4 linked regions of the Anolis sagrei genome follow. The main gene of each other region encodes a partner of the protein of the gene in region 4 in a complex. Links are inferred from orthologs where the notes say so. Each region holds a gene or a part of one and is shown on either strand. Other genes may lie near its edges.

Region 1 (6,902 bases), on a different chromosome or scaffold from region 4:
TTTCTCATTAGATCTTCCTGGTGTGCCATCACACTCCCTGAGCGCCGCTCCTGTAAGCAATCTGGCTGCTGTTTGTTGGACTCATTGAAACTTCTGGACCGTCTTCAAAGGCAACCCCATGTAGACAGCATTGCAGTAGTCTATACAGGATGTAACCAGAGCATGGACTACCGTGGCCAAGTCAGACTGCCCACGGCACGGGCGCAGCTGGCGCACAAGTTTTAACTGTGCAAATGCTCCCTTGGTCACTGCCGAAACCTGAGGTTCCAGGCTCAGCAATAAATCCAGGATCACACCCAAGCTGCGAACCTGCATCTTCAGGGGGAGTGTAACCACATCCAACACAGGCTGTAACCCTATGCCCTGTTCGGCCTTGCGGCTGACCAGGAATACCTCTGTCTTGTCTGGATTCAATTTCAATTTGTTTGCTCTCATTCAGACCGTCACAGCAGCCAAGCACCGGTTCAGGACCTGTACAGCCTCCTTAGTAGCGGGTGACAGAGGAGTTGTGGTTCCTATGAAGCTTTTCCTTGATTTGAGTCTACTGGGAGGAGGCTGATAGCCATGCAGTGGGTGGCTTTAAGTGTTCAACCTTATTTCTCTCACAGTTAGCAGCAACTTCCCGTTGCACATTGAGTGGGGAGGGGGGGCAATGCCAGCTAGCTTGTAGAGTTTATCAACAAGTGTAGGTTTGAGACATCCTGTGATTATTCTGCATGTTTCATTCTGTGCTATGTTCATCTGCTTCACATAAACAGACTTATGCAAGCAGGGCAGGCATACTCAGTTGAGTAAGACAAGGCCGGAACTGATGTTCTTATTAATTTTGGGTCTGTTCCCCATGCACTGCCAGTAAGTTTCCACACGATGTTATTGTGTGGGGCTGCTTTGTGCTTGGTGTTCATGTAGTGTTTCCTAAATGTTAGTGTTCAATCTAAGATGATGCCAAGATATTTAGGATGGAAACGGTGTTTGACCTCTTGGTCTTCCCGCGTAACTTTCAATTTCCTGCTAGCTTCGTGGTTCTGTAGGTGGAAAGCACACAATTGTGTCTTGGCAAAGTTAGGCTCCAGGTGTTTATCATTATAATAGCTGGAGAGATCTTTCAAGGCATTAGTAAGTTGGTTTCTGACTGTTTCAGTTTTTTTGCTTGTGTTGTTATGCCAAGGTCATCAGCATATATAAAGCTCTTTGAAAGTGGTGGCTATGGCTGATCGTTAGTAAAGATGTTAAACAAGGTTGGTGCAAGAATGCTGCCTTGGAGTGAACCATTCTTTTGCCTCCCCCATCTACTTTTCCTGCCTTGAAATTCCACAAAGACGCTGCAGTTTTCTAGAAGGATCTGGATCGTTTTTGTGAAATCAAAGTTCCAGGTAATATGGTAGATTTTATGCAACATATTTCTATGTTGCACCGTGGCATAGGCTGCTGTTAAGGTCCACAAAATTATTCCCATAATTGTTCATAAATCAACAGATTTACCTACCTCCACAACATGTTCGTAATACTTGTGGAGACAATTCTACACCACCCTGCTGCTTTCAGATACCAATTCAGTTATAACCCATAATGTTGCAAAGTTCTGTGCAGCAGCAATTAAAATCTGCTATATAATGACTGGCTCCAAAAGTTAGCAATCTAACCATCTGCTAACTAAAATATAAATTAGTGCCCTCCTCCCCTAGACTTGTGCCCTGAATGTTCCTAGGCCCCTCCCATCAATTTTCCTCTCTCTCCATCCCATGCTAGACCCTTCCCCTTTTGTTTAGGAAACTAAGCTGGAATAATAAGAAACACCATGTTTATGGACAGGAACAAACTGCAATATAATGACATGCCACAAGAATGTGAATGCATATTATTGTTGTTTTAAACTCTTTATTTTATAATATTTTATACTTATCATTGGTGTATTTGGATTGTTGTTTACATGATTTTAATATGTTGTAAGTTGCTTTGGGTCCCATGAGGGAGAAAAGCAGGATATAAAGATTTATTATTATTATCACCATCATCATCATCATCATATTATTATTATTATTCTAGATAATTTTGTGCTGCAGCCTTCAACATACCTGTTTTCTAGACTTTTAGATTTTGATGTACAATGCTTTTATGAGACTGTAACCCTCTCCTCATGCTGGCCTATGACCATAATAAAGATTTGTGTGTATGATAATGTCGAGATCCAAGTCTCACTATGCAATAATAAGATAAGGGGAGAATCATTACTGTTTTGAAAGTGTTGTTTCCTGTATAATTGTGTGGTGCTTCCTTTGAAAGTAGTTGTTATACTCCAGAAACTCCATTTCTGTGGCTGCCACAAACTATGTTGAATTTGTTGAGTCTCTATGGACCCTTCCACACAGCCCTATATCCCAGAATATCAAGGCAGAAAATCCCACATTATGTGAGTGTGGACTCAGATAACCCGATCAAGGCAGATACTGAGGGCTTTTCTGCCTTGATATTCTGGGATATAGGGTTGTGTGGAAGGGCCCTCAGATAAGCCAGTTCAAAGCAGATATTGTGGGATTTTCTGCCTTGATATTCTGGGATATAGGGCTGTGTGGAAGAGCCTTCAGACAAGCCAGTGCAACGCAGATATTGTGGGCTTTTCTGCCTTGATATTCTGGGATATAGGGCTGTGTGGAAGAGCTCTGAGATAAGCCAGTTCAAAGCAGATATTGTGGGATTTTCTGCTTTGATATTCTGGAATATAGAGCTTTGTGGAAGGGCCCTATGGGGTATTAATTGAAAAACTGTTGCAACATGTGCTGCACGAAGTCCCACAAAAACAAAGTTTTTGCAGGTTAATAAACCTTTACCATGTTTTTATGATAGGACCAATTAGGAAACAACATTGATAACAGAGGAACAAAAATGCTGTTGCATAGTGGTGAATTTTTTCCAGAGGCCTCCTGGGACCAGCTTGGAAGCGGTTGATGCAATAGTGTCATTGGAAAGTTGAGTTCCTGTATTAACAATGGTGCTGTTGGGTGCCACGAGGCCCAATCTTGTTCCCAGAACAGTGAACCCATTGGCGTCTGCTGGGACGTGGGCCGAGGACCCTCGGGGGTAACAAAATCTGTGGGTGGGCAAGCTCCATTTCGTGTAATGGTGTAGTAAAATGGTGTCTCAGCTATAAAATGAGAGCAACCAAGGTTTGGCTTCAGGAACCCTTATATGGTTCATAGATTCATGCTGGTGTGTGGCTGAGGCTGGAACATAGGCATGGGCAAAGCTGGGCCCTCCAGGTGTTTTGGACTTCAACTCCCAGAATTCCTGACAGCCTCAGGTCCTTTCCTTTTCCCCCTCAGCCGCTTAAGCGGAAGGGGGAAAAGGAAGGGGCCTGAGGCTGTCAGGAATTCTGGGAGTTGAAGTCCAAAACACTTGGAGGGCCCAGCTTTGCAAATGCCTGCTGTGGCCCTTCCCGCCAGCCGCCCAGTCCGCCCGCGCCAAGGCCCTTTCCTCAACTCCCCTGGAAGAGCAGCGTGACGTCAATCGAGGCCGCGCTCCTCTCGTGCCCCGGAGAAGGCCAAGGAAGCAGGCCTCGCCTCAGCCTCCGCCAGATTACCTCACCGTCCAATCAGCTCACGGCACCCCAATCCCAGTCACCCGTTGGGACGGTTGCGATAGGCATGGCCACCATCCAATCAAATTAAAGCTGCTTGCGCGAGCTCCTCAGCCTCCCACCCCTCCCTGGAATTTTAAAAAACCAAAACCCAATAGCCAATGAACGCTACGGATACGGCTGTGAGAGAAATAAGGAAAGATTGACAGCACTCTTGTCCAACCCAAATGGAGAAACGGATTTAGTTACCCAGGCAATGGGTCTATGGGATGGCGGAGTTAGCGTTCCTCTCAACCCAACTTTTCCGAGCGACAAAAGGAAGGCCGATACAGGAAAAGGCGGGCTTTCCGCTTCCGGAGCATCGCACCGCCTGGTGCTTCCTCCCCCCACCACCACCACCGCCTCGCTTTAGATTGACAGGCGCTTCGTGCAATGAGGATGCCGAGGCGAGCGGAGAGGGCCCAATGGCGCCCGCATGGGCGGGGTTCCGAGCCTGCAGGAGATTCCAAGATGGCGGCGGGGGCTGCGTGAGGCGCGGTACTGGGCGCGCGCTTCCCTCTCGCTGGCGCCCGCCGCCATGAAGGGCAAGGAGCGTTCCCCGGCCAAGGCCAAGCGCTCCCGGGGCGGAGGGAGCAGCAGCGGCGGCGGTGGCGGCGACGACTCCTCCTCCTCCGTGCGAGGCGAGCGGAGCAGTAAGAAGCCGAGCAACGGCGGCGGGAAGTCGGCGGGCGGTGGCTCTGGAGAGGGCGGGAGCAGCAGCAGCAGCAGCCGCCGGGGCCTCCACTTGGAGAAGGCCAGCCGGGCCAGCAGCCGCGAGTACGAGGCGGTGACGGGGAGCGGCGGCGGCCGACATGGCTACAGCAACAGCAGCAGCAAGAACGCGGAGTCGTCGTCGTCCTCGCGGGGCAGCAGCAGCCGAGGCGGAGGAGGAGGCGGAGGAGGAGGAGGGGATTCCCGGGCGCCCCCTTCAGACTCCGGCGGCGGCAGTGAGTACAAGACGCTCAAGATCAGTGAGCTGGGCAACGCGCTGAGCGACGAGGCCATCGAGGACGGGCTCTTCCACGAGTTCAAGCGCTTCGGGGATGTGAGTGTCAAGATCAGCCGCCTCCCGCCCGGGACAGGCGCTGCCGACGAGAGGGTGGCCTTCGTCAACTTCCGCCGCCCGGAGGACGCCCGCGCCGCCAAGCACGCCCGAGGCCGCCTGGTCCTCTATGACAGGCCCCTGAAGATTGAGGCCGTCTATGTGGGCAGCGGGGCAAGCGGGCGGCGAAGGAGCAGCCGCTCCCCAGCCATCCTAGATAAGGACTCCCCTTACGGAGCCGCGGGCGTGGGCGTAGCGGGCGCCGCTCCCGCCGCCCTCAGGCACCCTCCGGCTGCCGCTCAGAGGGCCCTCTCTCCCGCCGGCGGAGGGGCCGGCCTGGGCTACAGGGACTTCCGGCTGCAGCAGCTGGCCCTGGGCCGCCTGCCTCCCCCGCCACTGCCCCGTGAGCTGGAGAGGGAGCGGGACTATGGGGGCTTCTACGACCGGGTCCGACCCGCCTACAGCCTGGAGCGTGTGGCTGGAGTGGCTGCGGCGGCTGCCTTCCGCGGAGTGGGCGGCACAGGGACGGCCAGCGAGGAGGAGATCAGCCCCGAAGACGACCAGCGGGCCAACCGCACACTCTTCCTGGGCAACCTGGACATCTCGGTGACCGAGTCGGACCTCCAGAGGGCTTTTGATCGCTTTGGGGTGATCACGGAGGTGGATATCAAGCGGCCGTCCCGAGGACAGACGAGTACTTATGGCTTTCTCAAGTTTGAAAATTTGGATATGGCCCATCGGGCTAAGCTCGCCATGTCAGGCAAAGTGCTGCTGTGTAATCCTATCAAAATTGGCTATGGCAAGGCCACCCCCACCACGCGGCTCTGGGTCGGTGGGCTGGGGCCTTGGGTGCCGCTAGCCGCCCTTGCCAGGGAATTTGACCGTTTTGGTACTATCCGCACCATTGACTATCGGAAAGGGGATTCCTGGGCCTACATCCAGTATGAGAGTTTGGATGCTGCCCAGGCTGCTTGTACTCACATGCGTGGCTTCCCCTTGGGTGGACCGGACCGCCGTTTGAGGGTGGACTTTGCTGACACAGAGCATCACTATCAGCAGCCCTATTTGCAGCCCTTGCCGCTTCCGCCCCCTGGCCATTATGAGTTGGTAGCAGAGACATCTGCCTTTGGGGCGCATCGTGGTGCACCACCTGATCCACTCCGAGGTGCACGGGATAGGACCCCACCACTGCTGTATGACCGTGACAGAGATTTATATCCTGAAACAGAGTGGGTTCCTCCCCCACCTCCAGTTCGAGACCGGGGCAACAGAGCAACTGTCTATGATGCACTTGAGAGCCTGGAACGCAGGCGAGACGGTTGGTCTCTAGAGAGAACTCGCGGGGAAAGGGAGTTAGGCGGTGGCAGCAGGGACCCACCCAGGAAGCGAAGACTGGTGGAGGATGGGGGACGGCATTTGGACCGTTCGCCTGATAGCGAACGGTCATCTTCTTCCCGCAAACGGCATTGCCCTACTGCAGCTTCTCCACAAGATCGTAGTCCTGAGCCTGGCATAGGCAGAGACCGCTATGGGAGTGATGCAGAACGGTCATCTTCCCGTTTGCTCCTGCTGGATCGCCATTCACCCATCAGAGAGTCACGTAGGGGTAGCTTGGAGAGAGGCCAAAATGAGAAGCGTGAGCACAAGAGTTCGGTAGAAAGGGAACGAAAACATCGCACCCTCGCAGTAGCTGCGGCTCAAGAGTGCAAGAGCCCAGCTAAAAAAGATGAACATGTCTCTGAAGGGAGCAGTGGCGGAGGATCACGCTTGAAACCTCCCCCTCAAAAGCAGCAACAGCAGGATGGAGGCTCAAAGTCTGGGTCATCCCCCAAACTCTGCCTGGCTTGGCAAGGAATGCTTTTGTTGAAGAACAGCAACTTCCCGTCTAACATGCACCTACTTCAAGGAGATCTGAGTGTGGCCAGCAGTCTCCTGGTAGAAGGAGCAACTGGTGGCAAAGTGGCCCAGCTAAAAATCACCCAGCGACTCCGTCTGGACCAGCCTAAATTGGATGAAGTTACTCGTCGCATCAAAGTGGCAGGGCCTAATGGATATGCTATTCTTCTGGCTGTGCCTGGAACCACAGACAACCGTGCCTCATCTGGGGCTGGTGATGCTAACACCACCTCCACACAGCGACCACTCAGAAACCTGGTGTCCTATCTCAAACAAAAACAGGCAGCTGGAGTGATAAGCCTCCCAGTAGGAGGCAACAAAGACAAAGAAAACAGCGGGGTCTTGCATGCT
Region 2 (7,625 bases), on a different chromosome or scaffold from region 4:
GCCACCCCTGCCCTAAAGATCCTGTCTGATCTTGGAAGCTAAGCAGGGTCAGCCCTGGTTAACACTTGGATGGGAAACAGCCAATGCAATCCAGATGCTATAGGTTGTGATTCAGAGGAAGGAACTGACAAAAATAGGCCTCTTTGCATTCCTTGCCTAATAAAACCCTGTGAAATGAATGGGGCCACCATAAGGCCATATATCCTGTGCTTGTCCTTAGCAGATCTAGTTATCCCATGCAAGGCACCACCAATTACCTCGGTATGTGTCCTGCCCTTGAAAGTACAGGGTTAAAAAGAACCAGGTGCATTCGCGTGGCATCCGCCGCTATGCATCTCTTGTATCTCTATGGTGAAACTACCAGTGGCTTTGCATTGGGAACCACAGATAGAACGAGATCGCTTGGGGATCGGAAGTAGGAAGTTGACACTCACATTCCTACCTCTATCTCTCTTCGTCCATCTCGGCCGAAGCGGAGTGCGACGCATAGACTTAGTATAGATAAACCCATCAGCTCATGACTTCCGGGCTTAATTGAATAGGTACAACTCCTAGGACTCTTAAGTACATTGAGCCATGGCAGTTAAAGCGACGTCGAATTGCAATCATTCTACAGTGTAGCTGCAACTTAGGAAACTAAAGAAATAATAAATCTGGTGCACGTTAGGAAATAAAAAAAATATAATAAATCAGATGCACCTTAAGAAATAAATAATAATATAATTAATAATAATATATAATATTGTTTCTATCTTTTCTATTAAAATAATAATAATATATAATATTATTATCTATATAAATAAAAATGGAATGTGGGCACCACAATTCAAGAGAGATATTGACAAGCTGGAATGTGTCCAGAGGAGGGCGACTAAAATGATCAAGGGTCTGGAGAACAAGCCCTATGAGGAGCGGTTTAAGGAGCTGGGCATGTTTAGCCTGAAGAAGAGAAGGCTGAGAGGAGATATGATAGCCATGTATAAATTTGTGAGAGGAAGCCACAGGGAGGAGGGAGCAAGCTTGTTTTCTGCTGCCCTGGAGATTAGGACGCAAAACAATGGCTTCAAATGACAAGAAAGGAGATTCCATCTGAACATGAGGATGAACTTCTTGACTGTGAGAGCCGTTCAGCAGTGGAACTCTCTGCTCCGGAGTGTGGTGGAGGCTCCTTCTTTGGAAGCTTTTAAACAGAGGCTGGATGGCCATCTGTCAGGGGTGATTTGAATGCAATATTCCTGCTTCTTGGCAGGGGGTTGGACTGGATGGCCCAGGAGGTCTCTTCCAACTCTTTGATTCTATGATTCTATGTTTGTTTATGGGATTAACATAACTCAAAAACCACTGGACAAATTGACACCAGATTTGGACACAAGACACCGATCAGGCCAACAAGAACAAGCCCTATGAGGAGCGGCTTAGGGAACTGGGCATGTTTAGCCTGAAGAAGAGAAGGCTGAGAGGAGATATGATAGCCATGTATAAATATGTGAGAGGAAGCCACAGGGAGGAGGGAGCAAGCTTGTTTTCTGCTTCCTTGGAGACTAGGACGTGGAACAATGGCTTCAAACTACAAGAGAGGAGATTCCATCTGAACATGAGGAAGAACTTCCTGACTGTGAGAGCCGTTCAGCAGTGGAACTCTCTGCCCCGGAGGGTGGTGGAGGCTCCTTCTTTGGAAGCTTTTAAGCAGAGGCTGGATGGCCATCTGTCAGGGGTGATTTGAATGCAATATTCCTGCTTCTTGGCAGGGGGTTGGACTGGATGGCCCATGAGGTCCCTTCCAACTCTTTGATTCTATGATTCTATGTTTGTTTATGGGATTAACATAACTCAAAAACCACTGGATGAATTGACACCAGATTTGGACACAAGACACCGATCAGGCCAACGAGAGACCATCACTCAGAAAAACAATGAAAAACATAACAGAAGGGACTTAAAAAGTAAAAATAAAATAAAATACATGACAACTTCTATATATACGCAAACATACATATATACACAAATATATACACACTCAAAGCACATATACAGAGACTGGGCCACAGCAACGCATGGCAGGGAATGGCTAGTTTATATAAATAAAAATGTAATGTTCAGTTCTTGTGGGTTTTTTCGGGCTATATGGCCATGTTCTAGAGGCATTTCTCCTGACGTTTCGCCTGCATCTATGGCAAGCTTCCTCAGAGGTGAGGAATGTTCGTTTGTGGGATTAGCATAACTCAAAAACCACTGGATGAATTGACACCAAATTTGGACACAATACACCTCTCAGGCCAACAAGTGACCATCACTCATAAAAACACTGAAAAACACAGTGGAAGAGACTTAAAAAGCCAAAACAACAACGACAACATTACAATGCATGCACAAAACCACATGTATACAAATATACACATACATACACACACAAAACACATATACACAGAGTGGGCCATAGCAATGTGTGGCAGGGGATGGCTAGTGTATTATAAAAAAGTAAATAAGACTTGAGTGTGCCTTTATCACGGGGGGGGGGGGGGGAGTCTCTTTTTCTAATGTTGAATCCAACACCTTATGTGTTCAAGAAAACTTAGGAAGGATAAAATTGTTAATTAACAATAAGCTGTTTATTAGAATATGTATTCATTCATTCAAGCTATTGTGAAGGAATCAAGAATTGTTGCTTAAGTCTTATAAGATCTACACTCCTAAGTTTTTTTAAATAATTATGCCAATTACTTTCAAATAATATAAAGTAGTTTTTACTTTAAAAAATCTTCAAACATCTGAACTATATATATATAATTAAAGGCTTGATAAATTTAAAAAAGAGATAAATAAGAATAAACCAGATGCACCGTGTTGTTTATTCGTTCAGTTGCTTCTGACTCTTCGTGACCTCATGGACCAGCCTACACCAGAGCTCCCTGACAGCCGTCACCACCCCCAGCTCCTTCAAGGTCAAGCCAGTCACTTCAAGGATACCATCCATCCATCTTGCCCTTGGTCAGCCCCTCTTCCTTTTTCTTTCCATTTTCTCCAGCATCATTGTCTTCTCTAAGCTTTCCTGTCTTCTTATTATGTGGCTAAATACTTCATCTTGGCCTCTAATATCCTTCCCTCCAGTGAGCAGTCGGGCTTTATTTCCTGAAGTATGGATAGGTTGGATCTTCTCCCGGTCCGAGGCACTCTCAGAAATTTCCTCAAACACGACAGTTCAAAAGCATCTATCTTCCTTCGCCCCGCCTTCCCTATGGTCCAGTTCTCACATCCATATGTTATTATGGGGAATACCATTGCTTTAACTACGCGGATCTTGGTTGCCAGTGTGATGTCTCTGCGCGACCGCATCTCTGTCTACGAACCCAAGTGCAGCAAGTGTAGTTACTGGGATGTATAGTTCACCTACAATCAAAGAGCATTCTGAACTCCACCAATAATGGAATTGAACCAAATATGGCACACAGAACTCCCACGACAAACAGAAAATATATATCAATGATTGGTTGGGGGGGGGGGGGCACCAAAATACTGTTTGCTTACTGTTGAAAATTACCTAGGGCCGCCTCTGGCCGTATGCCTTTCCCAATCTTGCACCATAGGAAGGAAAAAAAATACACGTCTTTCCTTACTGCCTTTCCCTTTAAAACAGTGTTTCTCAACCTTTCTAATGGCGCGACCCCTTAGTACAGTTCTTCAGGTTGTGGTGACCCCCAACCATAAAATTATTTTTGTTGCTACTTCAGAACTGTAATTTTGCTACTGTTATGAACCTTAATGTAAATATCTAATATGCAAGATGTAATTTGGCACAAATACACCAAAATTTGAATACTTGTGGGGCTGGGGTGTGTGTGATTTTGTCATTTGTCTGCCTCATGTTTTTAAAATGTGTCGTTTTGCTTTTTTGAGTTATTTATTGTTTTGCTGTTGTTGTTTTATGGTGTTATTGGGCTTGGCCTCTTGTAAGCCACACCGAGTCCTGCGGGAGATGGTAGCAGGGTTTAAGAACAATAAATAAAAATAAATAATAAATTTAGGAGTTGTAGTTGCTGGGATTTATAGTTCACTTCAATCAAAGAGCATTCTGAATTCCACCAGCACTCTCATGACCAACAGAAAATGCTAGAAGGGTTTGGTGGGCACTGACCTTGAGTTTTGGAGTTGTAGTATACTTACATCCAGAGAGCACTGTGGACTCAAACAGATGGATCTGGACCAAACTTGGCACGAATACTCAATATGCCCAAATATGAACATTGGTGGATTTTGGAGAAAACAGACCTTGACATTTGGGAGTTGTAGTTGCTGGGATTTATAGTTCATCTACAATCAAAGAGCATTCTGAATTGATGGAATTGGGACAAACTTCCCACACAGAACCCCCATGACCAACAGAAAAAACTGTGTTTTCTGATGGCCTTTGCTTACCCCTCTGACACCACCTCCCAGGTTGAGAAATGCTGCTTTAAAACAAGTCATTCTTCGTGCACCACAACCTGGAAGTTTCACTCCTTACTAAAATCCATAGCCAGAGTTCAATTTCTTCCCAGAGGAGAAAAAAAAACTGCCTGAAGAAACCCGCTAGTGTCCTCTGCCGCTGGGAATCTATATTTTTGCCTGTCTCTATGTTCGCGCCCCTCGCGCGCTCTTTCCGGCCCCGCCCACCCGCTCGCGCCAGGACACTTCCCGTCCAGAGTGCCCTGCCTCGAATCATGGACCACAATGGTGAGCGCTTGGCGGGCGTTGGAAAGGAGGGAAGGCCCCTTTTTCGGAAGACCCGACGCATTCCCCCGCTTTCGCCCCAGCCTCTCTCCCTCTCTCGTCGTCCACAAGCCGCCCAATTTGAGCGGGAGGGAGGCCTGAGGGAGCGGCGAGGCCTTTAGAAGCGTTGAGGCCTTGTTTGAAAAGAGCGGCCGGCGGGGGGGGGGGGGGGGGGGAGGTGTGAAGGAGGCTGCGCAGGCGCACTTGGGCCTTCGTGACTTGAGGCCTAGCGCGCTTTGAGGGGATTTGGGTTTTCCCATGATAAGGAGAAGAGGCTCAATTTGAGCGGGACGAGGCCTTCAGAGAATAGCAAAGTCCGCGCTAGGCCTCTTCCTCCTTGCCGTGTCTGCCTTTCCTTACCCCACTGCTTCTTTTTGCCTCCCTCTTCTGCCCTGGGAGTTCTAAGTTTTACCAGGCATTTCGCCTTCTCTGCCACTTAGGCAGAAAAAAAAATATTGTGTCAGGAGCAAACCGAACAGTTGTATTTCATTTTTTATTTGCTTGCTTGCATGCTGCAAGTCGCTTCTGGTTGCATCTGTGGCAAGAGAAGTCTACGAAGACGTTGCTCAGGGGACGCCCGGATGTCTTGCAATCCTGCGAGGAGGCTTCTCTCATGTCCCATGTCATGTCTCTCATGTCTCATGTCAGCAAGCGAGAGTCCAAAAGTGGCAGGCTCAAACCTAGCACCTCAATCCGTGGGTGACTCCCTTCTGGGCACACAGAACACTGGGCGACTTGGAAGGTGCTGAACAGACTGTGCTCTGGCACCATGAGATGCAGAATACTATAATATAAATGGGTTCCTGAATCATCATCATCATCATCACTTTATTTCTTAATTAGTCGCTCTCCACCAAGGTGCTCCGATCGACTTACAATTTAAAACAGTTTATACACAATATAAAACATTCAATATAAAAACATTCAATATAAAAACATTCAACATAAAAACATTCAACATAAAAACATTCAGCAGTGACTATGGCAAAATTTGATCCGGTTACTTAAATGCACAGCCAAACAGCCAAGTATTGAGCGCCTTTGCAAAAGGTTGCAACTCCGACATTGCTCTAATATATGGAGGCAATGAGTTCCACAGAATTGGAGCATTGATCGAAAAAGCTCTACGCCTTGTAGCTTCCAAATGTGCCTCCCTAGGAGCCGGTATGTATAGGAGATTTTCCTGGGTGGATCGAGGTGGCCGCTGATGGGGAAAAGGAAAGATTGAATGCATACAACAAAAATACCACTTGTATAACATAAACAATAATATAATTCAACAACAGTATATAAACATGCTGCACTGTTAACCTCACAGCGACAACAAACAACATGGTGCAGATTTTTAGTACAGTCATATCTTCTTATAAGTAGCTTGTGGATCAGCCGTCCACGATCGGTTTCGGCCTACCTCAGGCCTTCCTCTGGTGGACTCAAATTAATGTACAAATCAATGTTTTACTCCAGTAGCATACATATAGAACATCTGTATCATTAAATATCATAAGTTACAACACATTTAAGTACTTACAAAGTTATACACTATAACTTATGATTCTATGAGTGCTAGTGCCTCAGCATACAACAAGTCCCTTTATTTATCGTGTCAGAAGCAAATTGGGAATACAGTTATAATGCATAAAATACTACAAGCAGTTAAGTATTTGAATGTGTCTGGTGTCGCTGAAAGGAGGTCCTCTAATGTGGTACGGTCCAAGGTCTTTCGCCTTCTCTGTCAAAAGGTGCTGGTGCCTAACCAAACTACAAATCTCAGGTTTTACAACAGCACCCTTAGTTTGCAAAAGTTTATTCATGGATCAGTATTCAAAGGGATCTAGTAGCACCTTTGAGATTAACTGAGAAAAAAAGTTGGTAGCATAAACATTTATAAACTGAAGTCTACAAAAGCTTATGCTTCTGACATCTTTCTTTCAGTCTCTTAAGGTGCTGCAAGATCTTTGTGTCTAATCTTACCAGTACGAGAGATGATTGATTGTTGTTGTGTGCCTTCAGTTCGTTTCCACCCTGAGTTAACCCTATCACCTGGTTTTCTTGGCAAGCTAAGAGGAGGTGTGCCATTGCCTTCCTCAGGCTGAGAGAGTGGGAATTCACCAAATTCACCAGTGAGTTTCCAGGCTGAATGGGGATTTGATCCTTGATCTCCAGACACTCAAAACACTGCTTCAAGCTGGACCATAGCAGGAATTAAAAGTTCAATGTTGGGGGTCACAACAATTTGGCAGCAGTAAATGAATGCCACCTAGTTGCACAAATTTGTCTTGTGGTGAAAACAAGGATTGATGATAGTTTCAGTTGAGATACCTTTCCCCTTCATAATTCTTTTAGAAGTAAATTTCCCTTCTGAGGGGAAGGTTTTTTTCACTTCCTGTTCTCTTAACTATGAGTTGTTTGTAAATTGAACGTTAGCAACCAGGGGACTGCCTGTACACATGAGTCTCTGTATTAAAATATTTAATTGAAATAGCTTCCTTCACTAGAATACATTTATGGTTTCTGTTGACTAAGTGGTTTAGTAGCAACACTTGCGTCTGGGAATTTCCTGTGAGACAAGTATTCTACCATAATTGGAGACAAACCCATTTTAAGAATGTACACAAAATAAAGGTCTGACAGCATCTACAGTGTAGATTGAATACAGTTTGACACCACTTTAACCGCCATGACTCAATGTGATGGAATCATTGGAGCTGGAATTTTACAAGATATTTAGCCTTTTGTGTCAGTAAGTGCTGTGCCTCTCCAGACTATAAGTCCCAGGATTCCTTAGCATCCAGCGATGGCAATTAAAGTGGTGGCAAACTGCAATAATTCCACAGTGTAGATGAACTCAAAGTGTGCTTATTTGTTAGAACACAAAC
Region 3 (7,735 bases), on a different chromosome or scaffold from region 4:
TAATTATCTATTATCCAACTGCATATGCAGAAATGAATACATCCTACTGCGATTCAGGGAAATCACATCCAAAGTTTTCCCAGTTCTTTAGAAAATGTTTTAAGGATGTTCAAGATGAGGGAGGGAAGAATGCTACAGTGGAATGGGAAATTAGATCCACTTCCAATTTTGTTAATAGAATCTGATTACTTGTCCACAAAAGGCCAGTAATATTTTTTATCTAAACACTATACTTTCAAAAGTCTTGTATTCAAGTAAAGACTGGTTATTCCTAAAAGAGATCTCTAAATTGCAGAATGTTGCTTGTGCGGTAGCTTTGTGGAAGCCTACCTTTGTTTATAGTAAATTAAAACCACCCTATATTACTCTACTTCTGTTTGGCATGTGAGGCAAGGCAACAACGAATAGAAGATTCTCTGAAGTAGATATATATGGTACATAAAAGAGAAGGGAAACCTTCTCTTTTAAGCAGCATCTTTCCTGGTTGTGGACAGGCACAACTGGATATAACTTTGAAAGCCTACTATCTCTGAATGCAAAAGTAGTCATTTAGTGCAGAAATAATATTTTATTAACCCCTTTTTATTACATTGACTAACAAAACTTGGTTGTCAGTGTTACATTGCTGATAAGTGAGCTAACTGAAGTGTATGTGGTCTCTACTTATCTGATGCTATTAAGCCACATATGTCAATCTCACAGGTCCAACGAACACTGCAACTTGTTGAGTGCAAAAATACTGTATTGAGACTAGACTGCTTTTTCAATATACTATTCTTATTTTTAAAAAAATCCATACCCAAAAATCTGATCTACGCTTAGCATCCCTCTCCAAGCAACACAACAATCCTAGGCATGGTGTCTTGGCAGTATTAAAATGCTACATTACATAAATGCATATTTGTTCATTCAGGTGTATCGTAAACTAATACCATTGGTCTGTATAGGTGCAGCATCAAGGCACAGGTAGTTCTATATATGAATGGCTGGACTTGTATTATATATTTGTATTAATATGTAAGCACTAGTCCTTTAATGTGAGTGCAAGCTGCCACAAGCATTACATTTAGGGCTGCCCACTGAAGAAATATTTTCAGTTATGGTAGGTAGAGACTTTAAACTGCAGGCTGCATGTCTTGTCAGATAAACATAGCATATACTAACCTGGAATCTGAAACATAATTTATCTGTAAATGTCAAGAAATGATCAGGGATTGTGTACACCTGATATTTGAAACGGCCTTGGACCATGATTTTTGGATTATGTGATTTTACCATTTATATTAATATGTTTTTAACTCCACATTTTAATGTTTAAATGTGGTTACATATTTATGACCAAATCAATAGTTACATGTTATTGTTGTTTTAGGTTAGGTTTCATATGTATGTGAGGCATTCAATTTTGCCATAAATAAGTTGGAAACCACTTTGAGTCCCTCCCTGGGGTGAGAAAGGCAGTATACAAGTCAAGTAAGTAAATAAATTACAATGAAAATTGCTTAGTCTGAAAGAAAGCCTAAAGACCACCCTGGGTTTCTTTAAATACTATTTTTATGCATTATTTGCTGGCAATGCAGCTATTACTATTTAGATATTAGACCAGGGCATGGGCAAACTTGGGCCCTCCGGGTGTTTTGTTGAAATTCAACCCCCACAATTCCTAACAGCCTCTGGCCCTTTCCTTTTTTCCCCTCAGTCGCGTAATCATAATATGAACACTGGATTTAGTATCCCAATAATAGCCTCCTGCTTGAAACTTGGTCGGGCAAAGGATGTCAGTGGGGGAAAGATTAAATGGGTCCCATCTTTAAATGAACGTCTGAACACAACCCAAGCTGTCATTTCCTTTCTGGCTAATAAAATACGGCCATTCGGGCCTTTGCCTGAGTAAGCACACAGCAAGATCACTATTTTAAAGAAAACTGGCAAACGAGGGTAACTCTTGATTCCCAGATAAGCCATCCACACGGCCTTTATTCGCAGAAGCATAAAACTCAGGCGCTGCGTGGGTCCAAATCGTGGCACCAAGAGATTCTCGCAAAAGGCTTGTTCGTATAGGCTTTTTTAAAGGTAACTGGCGTTCTTTGGATGTCGATGGCAAGGCCGAGGCGTAAGGCCCTTTCCCCTCCATCCCTATCGCGCTAGTAAACAAGCCTGTGTTTTGCGGGAAGCGGAAGAAACGCTTCCGGGCGTGGCGGCCTCGGGCCCTCCAAAGAGGAGGGTGGGCGACGCCGCAGGAGCGCCAGAGCAGAGCCCCCCCCCCCCCTCTCCCCAGCCTCCATCTTGCGAAACGGTCGTCTTTTCCTCCCTGAAGCGTCGGGCCTTCATTCCCCCCTTCCTCACCTCAGTGGAGGCGGCGCCGCGAAGGCGTCCTCGTCCTCACTCGTCGTCTCCCCCTCAACCGACTTCCCCTGAGGCAGGGTTTCTCTGTCGCATCAATGAGCCGGAAGCCTCGAGGCAAGGCTTCTTCTCACCCTCCCGGTTGGGGGGGGGAGGAAGAGGGGGGGCTGCAGCACCGCACGCGCTTCCCGCCCGTTCTTATATTTGGGGCTCCTCCGCTGCGCTACAAAATGGCGCCGGCGAGAGCGCAACGAGAGGAGCCGCCTCGCCCCTTCCGCGCCTCGTCCAATCAAAAAGCAGGAACCGCCGGCAGCCCTCAAAGCGGGCCTGGCCCCGCCCCTTCGCTCCCTCTGCCTGCGCGCGCTACTCCCCCCTCCCCTCCCCAGCCCCGCCCGCGCGCCGCCTCGCGCCACCTCCTCCTCCGCACTTACCGGCCCAGCCAGCCACCAACGGACGGGAGTCCTTCGTCTCGCGCTCTTCCAGGCCGCCGCCCTCCTCTCCCCTTCCCCCGCCCTGCGTCCTAACAGTGTTTGAGTCAAGGCCTTTGACTCCCTCTTGCGCTCGGCACTGAGAAGGGGAAGTAAATAAGATTTGCAGAGGGGGAGGGGGGAGCCCCGGGGGAAAGGCGTGATGCGCGCCTCTTGCTTCCCTCCTCGCGCCCGCCAGAGTGCGCACTCGCAAAGCATGCTGGGGCGCTGAGGGAAGCGGCGGAAGGATCCGCAACGGGCCATCTGGCCACCTGCAGGAGTAAACACCAGAAGCGCGGAGGGATATCAGTCCCGTCTGCCCTGGGAGGAATCTTTTGGCTGCCGGAGAAGGGCTGTTGCCTGGATTCATAGTGCATGCAGTACCGGGTTTAAAATCAGAACCATTGAGTTGGAAGAGACCTCGTGGGCCATTCGATCCAGGCCCCTGCCAAGAAGCAGGAAAATCACATTCAAAGCCTCTGTTTAAAAGCCTCCAAAGAAGGAGCCTCCACCATACTCAGACGCAGGGAGTTCCACTGCTGAACAGATCTCGCAATTAGGAAGTGCTTCCTAATGTTTAGGCCATAGCTGTTTGGAAGTGGCCCTAGTCTCTAGAGTAGAAGAAAATATGTGATATTCTTTCAAATATTTAAAAAATGATTATCAAGGATGCTTGCCATAGATGCAGGCGAAACCTCAGGAGAAAATGCCTCTAGAACATGGCCATAGAGCCCGGAAAAACCTACAACAACCCGATTATCAAGTATTTTCTTGGCCTTCTTTTCTTAAAGCATAACATACCCAACACCCTAAATTTCATAGGGCTTGATTTCCAAAGGCATTCTTAATCCATTCCTGATTACCTATGTAGTGCTCACAAAGTGGTGGTTTCTTGGTATTAACATTTTGTTCACATTGCTTTAACATTTTGCTTATAACCAAGGTGAAAGAACAAAGTGCAAAAGCTGGGTTGCAGTTAAACAAACAAAAAAAACCCCAAGATTATGGCTGATTGATAACAAGCAAACATGGAGGCAGTGACAGACTTTGTATTTCTAGGAGTGAAGATTACTGCAGACTGCAGCCAGGAAATCAGAAGATGTTTACTTCTTGGGAGGAGAGCAATGACCAATCTCGACATCACATTGGCAATGAAGATCCACATAGTTAAAGCAGTGGTATTCCACATAGTAACCTATGGGTGCAAGAGCTGGACCACAAGGAAAGCTGAGTGAAGGAAGATAGACGCTTTTGAACTGTGGTGTTGGAGGAAAATGCTGAGAGTGCCTTGGACAGCAAGATCAAACCAGTCCATATTCCAGGAAATAATGTCCTGCTGCTCACTGAAGGGAAGGATATTAGAGGCAAAGATGAAGGACATTGGGCACATAACGAGAAGACAGGAAAGCTTGGAGAAGAGTATGACTCTGGGGAAAATGGAAGGAAAGAGGAAGAGGGGCCGACCAAGGGTAAGGTGGATGGAGAGTATCCTTGAAGTGACTGGCTTGACCTTGAGGGAGCTGCGGGTGGCAACAGCTGACCCATGAAGTCACAAAGAGTTGGAAGCAACTGAATGAATAAGCAACAAAGTTCAGAAGTATTCCTGGTTGTAGATTTACTAACTACTCTAAATGTTTCACTTGATGACACAAGCACTTCACCTTAATTTGGCAGTTAATCATAATCTACAGAAGCGATGTAAGTTTATCATGACTACTATGCATTTATTTATGAGTAAATTTTTAATTATCTGTGGTCAATAATGTGGGAATTATCTCAGACTGAAGAAATAGAGCTCAAGGAGAGAAACAGTAGCTTGTCAAAAGCCTGTTTGCTCAGCAAACTAAATTTCACAACAGAAAGTACTGTTGAGGCAAGCCTGTCCTAACATGTTGCCGTTGCATTTAATCAACATTGAAAGAAAGAAGAGAAAGTGACAGCATGATTACCCACACACATTTCCTAATCAAAACTATTCTAATCTAATACCTTAGCAGCCTGAAAGCCAAAACCAAGGTTACAACATCTGTTATAGAACTCCAGTATGCTGATGACAACGTCATCTGTGCATTCAGAAGAAGATCTACAAGCCACTCTAAACACCTTCGCAGAAGCATACGAGAAGCTTGGCCTGTCATTGAACATCGAGAAAACCAAAGTGCTCTTCCAGCAGTTACTGGCCAATCCCTCTCCAATGCCAGAAATACAGCTTAATGGCGTAACATTAGAAAATGTTGACCATTTCTGCTACCTTGGCAGCTACCTCTCCACAAAAGTCAACATTGATACTGAAATACAACACTTTCCTGAGCTCTGCGAGTGCAGCATTTTTCCGAATGAAGCCTAGAGTGTTTGAGGACCAGGACATCCGTAGGGATACCAAGGGGCTTGTTTATAAAGCTATTGTCCTCCCAACCCTGCTATATGCCTGTGAGACATGGACTATCTACAGATATCACATGCAACTCCTGGAACAATTCCATCAGCATTGGCTCCGAAAAATCCTGCAAATCTCTTTGGAAGACAAGTGGACAAACGTCAGCGTGCTGGAAGAAGCAAAGACCACCAGCAATGAAGTGACAGTCCTCCACCATCAACTCCACTGGACCGGCCACACTGTCCGGATGCCCGACCACTGTCTCCCAAAGCAGTTGAACATCTCTCACAGTCAGGAAGTTCTTCCTTATGTTCAAGTGGAATCTCCTTTCCTGTCATTTCCTGCTCCTAGTCCTAGTTTCCAAGACAGCAGAAAACAAGCCAGCTCTCTCTTCTTTATGACATCTTTTCACTTATTTAAACATGGCAATAACGTCTTTTTTCAACATTCTCTTCTGCAGACCAAACATGCCCAGCAATTTAACTTGAGAGAGTTTCCATTTTAGACTGTGGCACTCAGAATACTCTTTCCAATGCCAGAATCATGAATGGCTATGCTAGCTTTATAATCCCAAGGATACCTCTTCAGCATTCGACACGTGAAGACTGAACACTGTAATAAAGCCAGAAGCCAGCTCAACCCCAGTGTCTACTGCGGCATCAATGACAGCAGGCACACTGTAGGGGGTTCATCTACCAAAATTATATATGGCAGCCTCCTAATATTTCTTTTCTGCATAGTGGGGATGAAGGGGCAGAGATCCAAAATACTCCTTAAATCCAAATCCGAAATGCAGGAGTCCCCTTTCCACTGGAGAGGGCTTGGAAGGACACCACGGAAGTTGGATCTTAAAACTGCAAAAAAGCTGTTTATTGTGTGGCCATACACCCCAGAGTCCCGTATGCACACATACGTGGCAAACTTTCAGTGCCATTTAGGCACAAAGCTATATAGACAGACACAGAAGCAGTTTAACATTCCAGCTTTCTGGCTTCATGAGGGTATGCTCGATTCTGGCCACAGCGGGGAGCTGCCGCTTCACCATCCACTTGTGACACTGAATCCTTTATGGAGTACTTCCTCATTCCTGCACATACTGCTGGAAGGTTTTATGGTGTTGTAAATTAGTTAAATTAGCCTCCCCGCATAAAACGGTACCTAAATTTCCTACTTGACATATGCAACTGTCTTTCGGATTGAAGAGTGGGTGGGCAGGGGACAGTTCCATCCTGTTGGTGACCCCTCCCCCAAGCACCAACTGCCGCTCTGGGCCAGAGTGAAGAGAGGGGGGCCCAGGGGACAGTTCCACCTTGTCTCTTATGCTATGCTAACCATATAATATAATGTAATATAATATAATGTAATATAATATATCTCCAGCAAAGGATCGTGGCGCTGGAGCTTGAGCACCTCAATGATGTCATGAGCGAAACCGTGAAGGGCCACCCAAGACGGGACGGTCAAAATGCTGCTGGGGAGGAGCAGAGGATAAGTTCAACTAGCCTCAGATGTGACGACGCAGCTAGCTCAAAGCCGAAAGGAAGGCTAGCGCCGACGGTACTGGAGGTGAACGACGAATCCGATGCGCTAAAGATCAGCACACCATAGGATCCTGGAATGTAAGATCTATGAGCCAGGGCAAATTGGATGTTGTTATTGGTGAGATGTCAAGACTAAAGATAGACATTTTGGGGGTCAGCGAACTGAAATGGACTGGAATGGGCCACTTCACATCAGATGACCACCAGATCTACTACTGTGGACAAGAGGAACACCGAAGAAATGGAGTAGCCTTCATAATTAATAAGAAATTAGCTAAAGCAGTGTTTGGATACAACCCAAAAAATGACAGAATGATCTCAATTCGAGTGCAAGGAAAGCCTTTCAACATTACATTGATCCAAATATACGCCCCAACCACAGCTGCTGAAGAAGCAGAAGTAGATCAGTTCTATGAGGATCTGCAGGACCTACTGGATAATACACCAAAAAGAGACATTATTTTCATTACAGGAGACTGGAATGCCAAGGTGGGAAGTCAAATGACAACTGGGATCACAGGCAAGCATGGTCTGGGAGAACAAAATGAAGCGGGGCGCAGGCTGATAGAATTTTGCCAGGAAAACTCGCTGTGTATAACGAATACTCTCTTCCAACAACCTAAAAGACGGCTTTATACATGGACCTCACCAGATAGTCAACACCGAAATCAGATTGATTACATCCTTTGTGTATAACGAATACTCTCTTCCAACAACCTAAAAGACGGCTTTATACATGGACCTCACCAGATGGTCAACACCGAAATCAGATTGATTACATCCTTTGCAGCCAAAGGTGGCGGACATCCATCCAGTCGGTGAAAACAAGACCTGGGGCTGACTGTAGCTCAGATCACGAACTTCTTATTCCTCAGTTTAGAATAAAACTAAAGAGAGCAGGGAAAATACACAGACCAGTTAGATATGATCTCACTAACATTCCTAGCGAATATACAGTGGAAGTGAAGAACAGATTTGAAGGACTAGATTTAGTAAACAGAGTCCCA
Region 4 (7,785 bases):
CTTTCTCATGGGTCCTGCACCCCTAACCTCCACAAAAGGAGGCCTCAAGCAATGTTGCTGACAGGCCTCAAGCAATGTTGGTGCCTTGTTCTCACCGTTGAAATGGCAAGGCAGATGGACAAGGCATCTGTGGGCAACGCCAGTGCCAGATCCGAAAGGTGATGAAGGAGTTTCTTCTCAAGCTCAGGGTCTGTTACCAGATCCCCAGATTCAGTAGCAGTGCTGGGTGTGACAGACGAAGAGACCGGGCTGTCACTGCGGAAGGGAGGGCTGAGGGCCAGCTCTGGATTCCTGAGGTCTGGAAAGAGGATGGAAGAAGACACAATAGCACTGTCCATGCAAGAAACATTTTGTCATTTACTCCATTTCTGTTTCAACCTGCTGTCCTCACTTTATTCTTTCCTTGGCCTTCAGCCTTGTTTGACATTCAACCGGGCCAACTGGATTGGAATTCCCAGCAGCCTCATCCAACACCAGAGGCACTCCAAGTGGCCAGATACTGGTCAAAGGACATTTAATCAACTACCAAGCTTGCAAATTTTGTGTTTTGTCTGTTTGTTTGTTTTGTTCTGTTAGAAATGTAATACAATTGTCTGGTTGCCCCTGACACGATAAATAAATAAATCCAACACATACTATGGCTGAACTGGGAAGGACAGTCCAACAATACCCAGATGCCATGTGATTTCCATCCCTGGTACATTGTATTACCCATAGAAATCTTAGTCACATATTCCAAAATAAAAATGTGGAGGAAATCTGAGGTCATTTTTGGATTTAGAGCACCAAATGTATATCAAACTAGCACACAGTTTTATACAGTTTTTATGACCCTCAGTTTTGTTGGTTTCTCCAAACTTAGTGTACCTTCATCACCTTGTGAACTTATGCTGACTCCATGAATTTTATAGGGTCTTTTTTGTTAGCAGAGCATCCAAAAACACAAATAGAGTACTTATAATTGAGCATTCAGTTCACAGCTCACAGCAAGCAGAGCGTGAAGTGTTGTGGCCAGGAAAGAATTTAGAGTTTAGGAGGTAAGATGCAGAGTTCAATCTTTAAAGTTACAAAAGGTTTATTTACAAAAATGATAACTACATTTCTTAATAGTAAAGAACTCGTCTGAGCTACTCTCTAACTCCAACTGGATCTAGACACTAGACTCCTGCTGATGCAAGCCAAAATCCCATTGGCCTTTTTTGCCGCCGCATCACATTGTTGGCTCATGTTTAACTTGTTGTTCATGAGGACCCAAAGATCTGCAAGTCGCTTCTGGTGTGAGAGAATTGGCTGTCTGAGAGGATTTTGCCCAGATGTTTTACCATCCTGTGGGAGGCTTCTCTCATGTCTGACTTGGCCACTGTAGTCCGCTGTGGTTACATCCCGTATAAACTACTGCAACGCTCTCTACGTGGGGTTGCCTCTGAAGACTACTCGGAAGCTTAAAATGGTCCAACTGTCGGCAGCCAGGATGCTAACAGGAGCGGCTCTCAGGGAGCATACCATTTCTCTGTTGCGCCAGCTCCACTGACTGCCAATTTGCTACCGGGCACAATTCAAAGTGCTGGCTTTAGCCTTTAAAGCCCTAAACGGTTCTGGCCCGACCTATCTGTCCGAATGCATCTCCTCCTATGAACCAGTTAGGACGTTAAGATCGTCTGGGGAGGCCCTGCTCTCGATCCCGCTGGTTTCACAAGCACACCTGGCGGGGACGAGAGACAGGGCCTTCTCAGTAGTGGCCCCCCGGCTGTGGAACGCCCTTCCTACAGACATTAGATCGGCCCCCTCCTTATTGACATTCAGGAAGAGAGTGAAGACCTGGCTCTTCGAACAAGCTTTCAACTAAGCAGTGCAATTGATTGATTTCTGGAATATGGATTAATGGACAACGAGATCGGATGCTGATTCTATCGATGAGACGTGATGGATTGTTGTTTTCCTGTATTGTTGTATTGATGTTCTGATGTTAATTAATTGATTTAATTGTTTTAAATGATTAATGATTTTGTACTGTGTTGTTGATACTGGTTGTTAACCGCTCTGAGTCACCTGATGGCTGAGAAGAGCGGTATACAAGTGAAGCAAATAAATAAATAAATAAATGTCCCTGCACGAGAAGCTGGAGCTGACAGACAGGAACTCACCCTGCTCCCTGGATTCGGACTGCCGACCTTTCGGTCAGCAGAACTACATGGGAGTTGTAGTTTTGCAAGGCCTTCTGTGGCAAAGAGTGCTGGTGCCTCACCAAACTACAGCTCCCAAGATTACATATTATAGAGCCAAGGCAGAGAAAGTGGGGTCAAACTGCATTCATTCTACAGTGATTAACTGATGTCCAAAGCCCTGGAAAGCTAGAGGAGATTCCATCTGAACATGAGGAAGAACTTCCTGACTGTGAGAGTCGTTCAGCAGTGGAACTCTCTGCCCCGGAGTGTGGTGGAGGCTCCTTCTTTGGAAGCTTTTAAACAGAGGCTGGATGGGTTGTTGTAGGTTTTTCCGGGCTATATGGCCATGTTCTGGAGGCAATTTTTCTCCTGACGTTTCGCCTGCATCTATGGCAAGCATCCTCAGAGGTAGTGAGGTTGAGAGAGGTAGAGAGGCTGGATGGCCATCTGTCAGGGGTGATTTGAATGCAATAGTCCTGCTTCTTGGCTGAATGGGGTTGGATTGGATGGCCCAGGAGGTCTCTTCCAACTCTTTGATTCTATGATTCTCTCCATTTTACCTTCACCCCCTTTTCACACATACAAGCCCATAAATGGCCTTTGCTTTCCCATTCAAACCACCACAAAACCATTCCGGCCTTCATTATTATTATTATTATTATTATTATTGCTATTATTATATTTTACCCAGGGGTTCTTGCTTCCGCCTCCGCTGCAGCCGCTCCCGCAGCGAGTCCAGCTGCTTCTTGTGAGCCTGGATCGAGCTCCATGTGTCTGACATCTCCCCGGCCAGTACATCAGCCAGAAAGGCGTCTCAAATAGGCAACCGGAAGTCTCTCCCTGGGGGACGGAGGGACGGAGATAATGTGAGCACACTTCCGGTTTGAAGCTCTTTAGGGACAGAGCGGTCGCTAAGACAAAGGGGAAGTGGATGTTCAAGCCGGAGCGATGCTCAAGCAGCCATTTTGGAAATGGGCACATTTTCCCTCTTTCTTGTTCCCGCCTGCCTTTGCATCATCTGCTTCACATATTTATTATTTTTATTATTATTTATTTATTATTTGCATTTATTGACCGCCCCTCTCAGCCCGAGGGCGACATATGAGATGCATGGTTTTGAATAGGGTTTTCTGAGACGAGGTGGCTTTGGCAGTTGTTTCCTATGAAATATAGCCTACTGTGGTATCTCAATCCTTCTAGGCTTGCCTTCAAGTTACACCCTTTTTAATTTTATTATTATTAATATTAATATTAATATATTATTTCAGTGGGACAATGAATTCTACGAACAGAAAGATGGAGTAGCTATGGGGAGCCCTCTCAGCCCGGTCATAGCTAACTTCTATATGGAACACTTTGAAAAACAAGCCCTGGAGGCAGCAACCAAAAAGCCCACGATATGGTTCAGATATGTGGATGACACCTTCACCATTTGGAGCCACGGAGAAGAAGAACTCAACAGGTTCCTGGACCATCTTAACAGCATCCACCCAAACATCCAGTTCACTGTGGAAAAAGAAAAGGAAGGAAGACTGCCTTTTCTAGATGTCCTAGTCATCCGTAAACCAGATCAACAATTGGGTCACACCGTTTACAGAAAACCCACACACACAGATATCTACATAAAAACTCCAACCATCACCCAAGTCAAAAAAGAAGCACCATTAAAGCCTTGGCAGACCGTGCAAAAAGAATCTGCGAATCCCACCTCCTCCAAGATGAACTGAACCACCTCAACTGGGCTCTCCAGGCCAATGGAGACTCCACCTCAGACATCAGAAGAGCTGCAAGACCAAGAACAAGCCACGAGAGTCAAGATGAAGATCCACCCAGAGGAAAAGTGTTTCTGCCATACATCAAGGGAACCACTGATCGCATAGGGAAGCTGATGAGGAAACACAACATACAAACAATCTACAAACCCACCAAGAAAATCCAACAAATGCTACGTTCAGCAAAGGACAAGAGGGATCCTCTCATCTCTGCAGGAGTCTACCGTATACCATTCAGCTGTGGACAAGTCTACATAGGGACCACCAAACGCAGCGCCCAGACACGCATCAAGGAACATGAAAGGCACTGCAGACTCCTTCAACCAGAGAAGTCAGCCATAGCAGAGCACCTGATGAACCAGACTGGACACAGCATTTTATTTGAGAACACAGAAATGCTGGACCACACCAACAACCACAATGTCAGACCACACAGAGAAGCCATTGAAATCCACAAGCATGTGGACAATTTCAACAGAAAGGAAGAGACCATGAAAATGAACAAAATCTGGCTACCAGTATTAAAAAACTCTAAAATTACAACAGCAAAACAGCAGAGAGGAAACAACCAGGCACATCTTAACACCTCTCAACAAAAGATTCTCCTAGGCTCAGCCAGGCCTTCAAATGCTAATGAAGGTGGTCAGTTGAAACATTCACACCTAGCTCCAGCAGGGAAGAGCTCTTTGCCCCACCCCAGCCATTCCACAGATATATAAACCCATTGTCCTAATTCCAACAGACCTCACTACCTCTGAGGATGCTTGCCATAGATGCAGGCGAAATGTCAGGAGAAATGCCTCTAGAACATGGCCCTATAGCCTGAAAAAACCCACAAGAACCTAAACAATACATCAATTACGCAATAAAAACCAGGGCCGGGCCAGTGATGGGTACAGGTTAAAAAAGTGCTGGGTGTGGCAGGTGGTATTTTGGATTTCCGGGCAAGTGCAATGTGCAGAGAGTCCTAAACTCTAATAAAGTGCTTCTGGGACGTAGTGCTGGAGATTATCCTATTCCGGAAAGGCACATCGGAATAGCCAGGTCTTCAGATTCTTCCTGAAGACTGCCAACGTGGGTGCTAGTCTAATGTCTTTGGGGAGGGTGTTCCAGAGTCGGGGGGCCATCACAGAGAAGGCCCTGTCCCTCGTACCCACCAAACTCGCCTGTGACGCAGGTGGGATCGTAAGCAGGGCCTCTCCGGATGAACAAAGGGATTGTGTGGGTTCATACACGGAGATGCGGTCACGCAGGCAGGCAGGTCCCAAACCGTTTAGGGCTTTGTAGGTAAGCACCTGCACCTTGAATTGGGTTCGGTAGGTAAACGGCAGCCAATGGAGCTCCTTAAACAGAAGGGTTGACCTCTCTCTGTAAGGAGCGCCCGTTAACATCCTGGCCGCCACCCGTTGAACCAGTTGGAATTTCCGAGCCGTTTTCAAGAGCAGCCCCACATAGAGCGCATTACAGTAATCCAATCTGAATTTGAAATTTGAAAGGGTTTTTCATAGAATTATAGATTTGAAATAGATTATTACTTACTTAGGCCACTGTTTCTCAACCTGGGGATCGGGACCCTTCGGGGGGGTCGCAAGGGTCCCCAAAGACTATCAGAAAACACAGTATTTTCTGTTAGTCATGGGGGTTCTTGTGTGGGAAGTTTGGGCCAATTTTATCGTTGGTGGGGTTCGGAATGCTCTTTGATTGTAGGTGAACTATAAATCCCAGCAACTGCAATTCTTAAATGTCAAGGTCTATTTTCCCCAAACTCTACCAGTGTTCATATTTGGGCATTGTGCTGGTACAGCTGTACCAGGAGCTCCAACTTTATTTTCTTTCTGTTATCTGTTTGCAGTCATAGGGCAGGCCGCCTGTCCATCATAATTAAGCTTTGGTTCCGCCCCTTGTTCAGGACTCTGGGAGGGAAAGGAGCCATTTTTTTTTGGCAGTCTCACATAAGGAAGCTAAACTATAGGATGTAGACCAGCTCGTCCCGTAGAAAAGCTTCTTTTCTCAAGAACATCCGGGGAAACATAAACAGATATTCCAGGGAAAAGGTCCCAAGGCTCTGGCTGAGAGCTCATAGCCTCTCAGCCTCACAGCAATCAGAGGGAAAACAACCCTGAGGTTTTAAAAGAATTCTCTGAGGGAGGATAGAACTACAGATCCATGGAACTCCATCTGAAATGACTACAAGCCTCGGCTGGTAGGTCTACTCGATACCCAGACACATTTGGAATTGGTAGTAGGACCCACACCAATGAGGCATAGATAGTAAACAGCCTGGGAGAGGTTAAATAGGGTTTTTTTTCCTACAGAGAAAGTACAGTTAATTAAAGTCAGGTACCAGTCCATTGAGGACTAGACTAAGAAAGACTTGAAGTGTTGTTTGAACCATTGAAGATTTGTTGTTTGTTCCATAATAAAGACTTTGTTTTATCATTAAAGACTCTAAAGACCATTAGTTCAGAAAAATCCCTGAGAACCTCTCTTTGAGGCTTCCTGTTGGGCTTAAAGTATACGTCCTATAGAAAAGACAGCTGTTACAGGCCCAGCACGTGACAGAACAGGCATATTGAGGATTTGTGCCAAGTTTGGTCCAGATCCGTCATTGTTTGAGTCCACAGTGCTCTCTGGATGTAGGTGAACTACAACTCCAAAAACTCAAGGTCAATGCTCACCAAACCCTTCCAATACTTTCTGTTGATCATGGAAGTTCTGCAAGCCAAGTTTGGTTCAATTCCACTGTTGGTGGAGTTCAGAATGCTCTTTGATTGTAGGTAAACTATAAATCCCAGCAACTACAACTCCTAAGTGACAATTCCCCTGCCAACCCCACCAGTATTCAGATTAGGGAATATTGAGTATTTCTGCCAAGTTAGGTCCAGATACATCATTGTTTGAGTCCATCCAAATGACAAAATCACCCCCCCCCCCCCCGTCACCCTACCAGTATTCGAATTTGGGCCAAATGTGGTCTAGTGAATGAAAATACATCCTGCATATCAGATGTTTACATTACAATTCATAACAGTAGCAACATTACAAATATGAAAGTAGCAATAATGTTATGGTTGCGGGGCCAACCAAGGGCAAGATGTATGGATGGCATCCTTGAAGTACTGGATTGAGCTTGAAGGACCTGGGGGCAGTGACGACCGACAGGGAACTCTGGCGTGGGCTGGTCCATGAAGTCACGAAGAGTCGGAAACGACTGACCGAATGAACAACAAACACAGTTTTAGCTATCTTGGTGCCACTTTAACAGCTATGCCTCAGAAAACTACAACTCCCATGATTCTATACATTGAGCCATGGCAGTTAAAGCGGAACCAAACAATTTGGCTACTCCGTTGCTTCACTAACATGACTTCTATTTTGGGCAGCCAGAAATGATGGTCACCTTTCCAAAGGGTTCTCAAGGACTCTTTTGGTCATTGTCTCAAAGCTTAGAACAACCCGGAAAACTCACAGCAACCCTTAGAACTTTATCTTGCATCCTCACGGCATTGAAATCTCAGGGCGTAGGATAACCCCAAATATCTCTGTACAGTGTGGCGTAAAATTTAAAAAGATTTATTTTAATTCTTTGTAGGGCTTTTTCTTGTTTCAGGAGTTTCCCATTAATAGCTCTGTTCAACTTGCACAAAATCCGAGAACCCAATTTCTTGGCAGTTTTAGGGGTGGGAAAACGGAAACAACAACAAAAACGCTTTTTTGCACTGTGCTGGACATGGTTATTTCAGCCAGCACTAATTTCCAAGCAAATATTGCGAGTGTGCATATAAAGTATTTCATATATAACATGTATAGAAATAGTAAATGACAATCCCATTCTTGTCTCTGACACC

The links.
Region 1: METTL3 (region 4) and RBM15 share a complex: the UniProt entries of both Homo sapiens proteins name them as parts of the WMM complex. The link is inferred for Anolis sagrei from reciprocal best matches to the Homo sapiens genes METTL3 and RBM15.
Region 2: METTL3 (region 4) and CBLL1 share a complex: the UniProt entries of both Homo sapiens proteins name them as parts of the WMM complex. The link is inferred for Anolis sagrei from reciprocal best matches to the Homo sapiens genes METTL3 and CBLL1.
Region 3: METTL3 (region 4) and WTAP share a complex: the UniProt entries of both Homo sapiens proteins name them as parts of the WMM complex. The link is inferred for Anolis sagrei from reciprocal best matches to the Homo sapiens genes METTL3 and WTAP.

The regions. Positions count from the first base shown.
Region 1 is NC_090024.1:183,682,285-183,689,186, reverse strand, and holds the start of RBM15 (RNA-binding protein 15), read left to right. Parts: upstream 1-3,883; 5' UTR 3,884-4,049; coding exon 4,050-6,902. UniProt on the Homo sapiens protein: RNA-binding protein that acts as a key regulator of N6-methyladenosine (m6A) methylation of RNAs, thereby regulating different processes, such as hematopoietic cell homeostasis, alternative splicing of mRNAs and X chromosome inactivation mediated by Xist RNA.
Region 2 is NC_090025.1:82,852,941-82,860,565, reverse strand, and holds the start of CBLL1 (E3 ubiquitin-protein ligase Hakai), read left to right. Parts: upstream 1-4,621; 5' UTR 4,622-4,697; coding exon 4,698-4,710; intron 4,711-7,625. UniProt on the Homo sapiens protein: E3 ubiquitin-protein ligase that mediates ubiquitination of several tyrosine-phosphorylated Src substrates, including CDH1, CTTN and DOK1. Targets CDH1 for endocytosis and degradation.
Region 3 is NC_090021.1:68,271,171-68,278,905, reverse strand, and holds the start of WTAP (pre-mRNA-splicing regulator WTAP), read right to left. Parts: upstream 3,021-7,735; 5' UTR 2,775-3,020; intron 2,617-2,774; exon of another isoform or gene 2,347-2,616; intron 1-2,346. UniProt on the Homo sapiens protein: Associated component of the WMM complex, a complex that mediates N6-methyladenosine (m6A) methylation of RNAs, a modification that plays a role in the efficiency of mRNA splicing and RNA processing.
Region 4 is NC_090026.1:10,920,828-10,928,612, reverse strand, and holds the start of METTL3 (N6-adenosine-methyltransferase catalytic subunit), read right to left. Parts: upstream 3,013-7,785; 5' UTR 2,947-3,012; coding exon 2,853-2,946; intron 299-2,852; coding exon 96-298; intron 1-95. UniProt on the Homo sapiens protein: The METTL3-METTL14 heterodimer forms a N6-methyltransferase complex that methylates adenosine residues at the N(6) position of some RNAs and regulates various processes such as the circadian clock, differentiation of embryonic and hematopoietic stem cells, cortical neurogenesis, response to DNA damage, differentiation of T-cells and primary miRNA processing.